2 linked regions of the Saccharomyces cerevisiae S288C genome follow. Changing the gene in region 2 together with the main gene of any one other region gives a genetic interaction. Each region holds a gene or a part of one and is shown on either strand. Other genes may lie near its edges.

Region 1 (3,397 bases), on a different chromosome or scaffold from region 2:
GTATACATCAAATTCATTCAGGGTTGGTGACTATATTATAGAAGCGTTAATGATTCTGATCGTGGTTCACAGTGAGTGCTTTAGAATTGGGCCTCAGCTCATCCATAAGATTTTAATTGAAACGCAGATTTTTATAGCCAGATACCTCTTTGAGGCATTTAAGCCTTATGTTGGTAATCTTTCTAATGATGGCTCATTACAAATTATAGTGGATTTGGAATTCTTTCAGAAGGTTATGGGTCCTTTACTTGAAAAGGACACCGAGGCCACATTAAGGGCGTGCTTACAAAACTGTTTCCAGAACGACACAAATAGACTACAAAAATGTATCAATGAGATTAATCCTATTGTATCTGCCAATTTAAAAAGAACTGCTATTCAATTCGCCGCCTTCAGCTAGAAACAGAGGTATAAAGATGTACTAACAATGATTATTAACACAAATCGGTACGTATCTTTTTTTATATTAGTTATAAAGATGTACTTACTACCTTTTTATTTCACGAGTAATGTTCTCCATGTTTTCTTAACGAGGAAACATTGTATAACGGGTAAATTTCTTCTTTCTTGGTCACCAAGTTAGAATCCCCTTGTACTGATTGTATGATGGCACTGTCAAATTCGTTTGATTTTTCATTATTCACGACAAAACTATTCTCATTTAAGTTATATTCAATGAATTTGGCAAAATTTTTTTGCACACCAGATGATTCCTTATTATCTAGGGTGACTTGGAATTCATCATTATGGGCGGATAATGAGATAACATTATATGGAAAAGTTATAATTTGCTTTAGTGCAAGATCCCCTTTTTGTTTTTCGGACATTTCCAGAATTATTATGCATTTTGTAGCTTCGACGAAAAACGCAACAAACGGTAGGTTCTTTGACTTTATAATTTTACTAACTGCAAATTCAATAATATCATTATTTTCATTTTGAAATCTTGGTGGTGCTAAATGCTGATCATTCAAATAAGGTTTAATCAAACTATTATAATCGAAGGTAGACAAGTTCTTACCAGTTTTCCAATCCCAAGCGAAGATTTTATCGTCACCACCTGCACTTAATAATAAATAGTCTTTGCCACAGCATATGGAAGAAACAAAATGCTTATGACCAAAGAGCCATTTGTCCACAATGAAACATTGGGGATAATGCGAAATTTTAATATGCTCATCTCTATCACTTGTAATTATGAATTGATGACCGTCAGAGTCTTTAATCAAGTGTACATCAGTCAACATAGAGACATGACCGAGAATAGGTTCTTGAGTAAACTTTTCTTCCGGGATAGAATTAATATCAATAGAATATACATCACCAAATTTGTCAGCTATTATGACTGTAGTATCATCTTCGGCTATAGAAATAGCATTCGGTCTCTTTGAGAAGCAGAACCTTTTTCTCAACTTTAAGACATTTTTGGAAGTTTTGTCGACATCGAAAACTAGGAGGGACTTGTCAGAATCTGCGCACGCAATTAGTCTTGATTCATCCGAAGTTAATCTCAGATTTCTTATGTACGAATATATCGGTGGGGCGCCAAGACCTGGAGATGGTACCTTGGCTGCTGTCCTTTTAATGGAATCGCCTTTATTACTTTTCAATTTTTTGTTCTCGTTTTCGTTTTCGCTGGATTGTCCTTGTTGCTCCTTAGCAGTGGTGTTTCTCGATTCTTGAATTTTGTCGAAATCATCAGACCATTTTCCAGCAAATTCCCAATGATTTGGCGATTGATATTTGAAGCTTAAGATACAATTCTTAATGATGGCGAAAACTAATGAGCCATCACGAGAGGTGAGTAAATTCTGCAAAGGATGAATGACGCTCATTGTAAAACACGCGGACTGCTTCAAATTGACAAACCTTGCTATACTTTAGCTGCTAATATATCATCAATACGCCTTTACTAGTAAAAAATTTTTTCATCTCATCGATTTTTTTCACCTCGCCATTTTTTTCGCTGATTAAAAGAAATGTATCTGAGATAAGTGCCATATTTAATGACAGCAGCGTAAAATAAGAATATGTAACGATACAATAAGAAAACTATGTTTATGTGTCACCTCTTGCTTGCGTCTTGGGAAAAGCATTCCCAATAACAGAATACTAAACCGGATGTAGTAGCCCTCTTAGTTTTTCTATCTAACATGTCCATCCTCCTGGATCAAAATATCAGTAATCTTGTATTCCTTACTTGCGATACAGCTATTATTACAGGCACTCTTTAAAAATCATCGAATAGCCGATCGACTACACACTTATCCCTATAACATGGTGTAAGTGATAGAGAGGTGAATGGCGGCGTCGTCTTATGTTCTCGCAATTATTGGTAGATGGTCACACAGCACGGTGTTTTTCTTTTGCTTAAACGATCAGTTTAAGTCCCTATTGAAACTAGTAAGACATTGCTTTGTAAGACCTTGAAAATAATTAGAATCCACTGACAAAGTAGAAGAGTGTGCACATGCTTGGTTTGGCGGAACGATGTCTGATTTAATTGAATTACAGAGGAACTATTTGATAGGGGTTTTGAATCAGATTGAGACGAAAAATAACTTGAAGTTTCTTATTATCGATAAAACTGTGGAGACAATATTGAGTTATCTTTTCCTCACACCCCAAGAACTTTTAAATAATGTCACATCTGTTGATTTGATTGATTCCCCAACAAGAAAAGGACAATCCTCCATCGAGGCAATTTACATATTGGAACCAACGAAATATAACATCAATTGTATCGATGCTGACTTCATGGTAAGACCACCTAAGTACAGAAGATGTCACATCAGATTTTTACCAGGATTAACAAACCCTATATTTCAGTTTTTTCAATCAAAACGTTACATTGCTCAAAATTTGGAGTCATTTAAGCCGATCGAACTAGGGTTTTTCGTCAAAGAATCTCAATTCTTCGAAACTTTACAAATGGAACACTCATTACAGGTTTTTTTCAACAACAACTGTAAGGCTTTGATTCCTACTAACGTGAGGAAGATTGTAGGCTCACTAGTTAGTTTGTGTGTTATTACGGGGGAATATCCGATTGTTAGATATTCTGTATCTAATCCTGTGGAAGAGGAAGATGCCCGCAATGGAAACGCCGTAGTCAACGCAAATTCTTTAACAAGGTCTATTGCAAACGCTTTCCAAATAGCGATAGATACATACGCTCGCAATAATCCAGATTTCCCTCCTCAAAACACTGAAAGACCGCGTTCCATTCTAATAATCACCGATAGAACACTGGACCCTTTTGCGCCAATATTACATGATTTTAGCTATCAAGCAATGGCTTATGACCTGGTAGCTAATGTGGACACACAAAAAGATATATATCATTATTCTGCCGAGAATGAAGCTGGTGAGCAAGAGGAAAAGGTTTCAAAATTGG
Region 2 (4,146 bases):
AAAGTTCAAGCTAAAAAAGCTAACTCAGCTGCCTTTTCAGGTCCCACAAGATGTTTCAGTTCATCTTCACCCTTCAAGAAGGTATGGTCCTCAAAGTCAAAACCTGGTACCACTACTTCACTAATCAAGAAACCGTTGTCAAATTCTTCGTTTGGCAGAAGGAAACTTGCCTTAAACACACCTCCGGGGACAACCCATTGCGAGACTTCTCCATTCTTATAGTCAAAACCAACTTTAAATGACTTCACTTGACCATCAGGATATACTAGAACGTATTGACCCTTGCCTCTTTGTAAGATATGTATGATCCTGTTAATATTCTTATGAAATTTCCCAATTGGGCTGTCGGGGGTTAGTAGATAATAGATCAACGTAGATTGATTTCTTGTTACCATTTCAGTATTACCTGAGCCTCCATTTACTGGTTTTTCTACTTCCATGGTGTAGGGAGACCTATCTGTTTCCTTAAAATACCCACCTTCTCTATGCTTGATTAATTGCCAATCATTGATCAATTGTTGCAAACTACTTGGTGGCTCAGGCATTGGGACTTTAACGAAACTGGCCGGCTCTATAGCTGCATTTGCAGCTTCTTGTACATTGGCTGACATGCTCTCTATGGCGAATTCTGATTGAATATACAAGTGTTCAAATTGAAAGAAGTTTTCTTATGGAGACGGAGTTGAACATTTTCTGTTTGAATTAATATACATACATAAAAACTATACTTAGAGAAAAGAATAGAAAAGGCAAAGAAATATACATGGATTTTATCAGGTTTTAAGCTTTCACGTCCTTCTTTTTATCAGCAGATTCTAATGGCACGTCAGCTTTACGTTTCTTGTTCACGCTTTCATCTATGAGGCCTTGCATAACTCTTTTATCACCTGTGATACCGTTAACAGGCCTAAAATATGGTTGACATCTCCAGTATGGAACAGTTCTATATGAACCACCCCATGATTGCTTTTCGCCGATAGTAATTTCATCCTTAATAGCGATATCTGGCTGTTCAAATATTTCTTGCACTACTTTTTCGACAGGCTTCACTACTTGTTCCTCCCATTCTTCCCACGTGGCTTTTGCATTCATAGTAGCAAGTGTTGACCTAATATCAGTATGATGCGGCAAGAAAGGCCTTAAAATCTTAAAAAAATGTGATTTCATTGCTGTCTTGGAGGCTTTAGATTCCTGGCATTCTTTGACAATCTGGAAATACTCTCTGATAATCTTATCTACGCGTGGAAATATCTTCTCCTTGTTCTTAGTTTGGCCTACATTGAAAACACCAGGATTGTATAAGTTCCCCTCAGCACTCATCACTGCGTCAGCACCGATATGTTCCATACAACGTGAAATATCTTCAGGATATAAGATATTCCCGTTAGCAAAAAACACGGTTTCTTTAGGTAAATTATCTCTTAGGTATTTGATTGTTTCCCAGTTAGCTAAACCAGTTTTTTGTCCTTTTTGCTCTCTTACTCTCCCATGGACGGTTAAAAATTGAGCTCCAGCATCCAGCACCATCTTGGCGTAATTCAAACTCTTTTCACAGTCGTCAAATATACGTATTTTTGCTGTAACTGGAACTTTCAAATTTTTGTGCAAGGTGTTGATTAAATTGTGTATAAGGTCCCATTCTTCCATCAAAAATGACCCATAGTGACCTTTCTTAGCTATGCCTTGAGGACAGCCCAAATTCAAATCTACCGCATCGCATTTATCTTCCACCAGTTTAGCTGCCGCCAATAGATACTCTGGGTCATTAGCGCAGAACTGTACAACCAACGGCCTATCTACGCTAGAGCCGTCTAAGGAAGACCAATTATCTTCTCTATATTTCTTCGAGGTAGCAAATAATTTTGCATGTAACATGGGAGTGTACGCCAAGGTTGCACCGTATCTTCTCGATAGAATACGCCATGCTAATTCGGATTGGTCTACCATTGGTGCAACGATCCTAGTAGGACGGCCGATCTTGTCAAAAAGTTGTCGACCTGTTAGTTTTTGCATCAGAGCGTTATTAGCGCTACTCAGGGCAGGTTCAGTCATATGCAGTTGATATTGTTTATTGAGCTTATTGCGAGCCTGTAAAAACTTGGATAGTATAGACGATAGCACTTTGGGAGCTAAAAATCTATGTGTGCGTGAGTGCAGTTTGACGATCACCTTGCTTGTTTTTATTTATCATATGTTCTCAACTCATCGATTTTTTTTTTTGATTTTCACGCTTTTAAGAATAAGAAAAGATGATTAAATTTTTCAATTTGCCCTAAAGAACTAATATAATGTTACATACGGATATGCTAAATATCTATCTAAAGTCTATACACTGTTTACAGATTTCCTGTGGTTGATATTGTAAATAGCCCTAGATTGTAAGGCATGAGCAAACAACAGAGATACGGGCCAGACTGGTGTATCGCCAAGAATTCTAGCACCGCAATACAATGTTCTTGATGACAATCTTGTTCTCGTGATTATGTCCAGCGCTTGATTGGTAACATCATGTGAATTCAAAGTATTCTCTATTAAGGATGAGTCCAAACTCTCAATATCAAGACTGCCATTATCTGGAACCCTTAAAAACTCAGCAAATGTTTGTAATTTATACTCTCTTTCAGATAAATGTGATTCGATCCTCTTCAAAGTTTTGAATGCTTTTAACCACAAGATCCTGTCAGTGCTTTTTAAACTACCAATCATACAATCACTGTTTTTGTTTTGAGCAAAGTCTTCCAATCTCCTCATGTACCCCGCTATGACCAATATCGAAACAAAAATACAAGTAATGGTGAAGATTGGAGTCTGTGTCGATTTACCCTTCATTACAGAGACAGTATCAATCCAGAAAGTGATAACGGATACAGCGTACTCTGTGGCCTCTCGTAGTGATTCCCGCTCGTAGCACACTTTTTCTAAAGAGCTATTCATTGAGTTCCAGTCTTGGTTCCAAATGCATCTTAGTGTTGGAGCAATATCAAGGCACTTCCTTAGCTTTGCAAAGAAGTACAAGGGAATTATCAATCTAAACGACGGATTAGTATTTATTATTGGCAGGTTTTCGTCACTGAGAGCCAATATCCCACCATTTTTGATGTAAAGTAGTTCCCAATGTTTTAGCATTGTGGCGACCAAGGGTCTTGAATGCATCCGCCACTGAACATTCTTCGCATGGAAATCGCTTTCGTAACTATCTTTCAACGCATCTCTTTCGATGTTTATCTTTTCATGAATAGAGATCAGTAAAGATAGCAAAGTCTTGAATGAGATTTTAGCGTTTTTATAAAGATAAGGATTACCGTTTGACAAATACATCAAGCACTTCTCGTAGTTTGATTCACCATTAGATACTTCAATTAGGGAAAACTTGGAATCCAAAACGATATTGAATCTCGTCAAGTTCTCATTCCAAGTTCTTGAATTTTCGCAAAAGAACAGTACCTCGTTGTAACAAGGAACACCACACTTCAAATCTATGGAATGAAAACAACAATCGAAATCCACTAAGGATTTAAAGAGGTTAGAAATCAGCAGGACTATGTGGCATATTCTTATTCTTGATTGTGCTAAGATAAAATATTTGAAATTTCTGTTTATTTGTTCACGGGTATTGTATTGAGCCTTGAACTGGTTCAAAACAGCGGGGTTATCTTGATATTCTAAAACATGGTCACTTTCGATCGGTGGCTTAATGAAGTTTTCTAATGGGTAATTCAACTTTGAAATTTTAATCAACTGAACCAAAATCATTATCTGGGTATTCACGGTTCTAAAGGCATTCATATCATTGGAGAAAATGCTGGTAAACGTTAATAAGACTAAAGATTGCATTAGCCAAATTGGTGTCTTATCATGATTGCTTCGAGTATTTTCTAGGAACATTCTAACTCTCGTCCTTGCTATTTTCGACAATAGTAGTGCATGTGTGGAATGAAATCCGTAAAGAGCACCAATCATACTGATGGATATTACTAAAGGATAGTTTTCACTGGATGGTATAATTGAGTATAAATGAATAAAGGGGAAATATTTATGAAATTCCACTTGATATAAATCGACATAATGATTCAGTTCATCAACAGTGGGAAAGAGATTAGACTTTAGATTGTTTTCTTTAATAATTAAATTTCTCAACTGTTCTGT

Evidence for each region.
Region 1: mutations in DUS1 (region 2) and TRM82 impair growth when combined (synthetic growth defect), as found in Saccharomyces cerevisiae (one study listed by BioGRID).

Annotation. Positions count from the first base shown.
Region 1 is NC_001136.10:783,309-786,705, reverse strand, and holds TRM82 (Trm82p), read right to left. Parts: upstream 1,836-3,397; coding exon 501-1,835; downstream 1-500. Other genes in the region: exocyst subunit SEC5, read left to right, coding at 1-400; SEC1 (Sec1p), read left to right, coding at 2,491-3,397. UniProt on the Saccharomyces cerevisiae protein: Required for the formation of N(7)-methylguanine at position 46 (m7G46) in tRNA, a modification required to maintain stability of tRNAs; its absence resulting in tRNA decay.
Region 2 is NC_001145.3:106,712-110,857, reverse strand, and holds DUS1 (tRNA dihydrouridine synthase), read right to left. Parts: upstream 2,053-4,146; coding exon 781-2,052; downstream 1-780. Other genes in the region: CFF1 (Cff1p), read right to left, coding at 6-611; TDA9 (Tda9p), read right to left, coding at 2,326-4,146. UniProt on the Saccharomyces cerevisiae protein: Catalyzes the synthesis of dihydrouridine, a modified base found in the D-loop of most tRNAs. Specifically modifies U16 and U17 in cytoplasmic tRNAs. Also able to mediate dihydrouridylation of some mRNAs, thereby affecting their translation.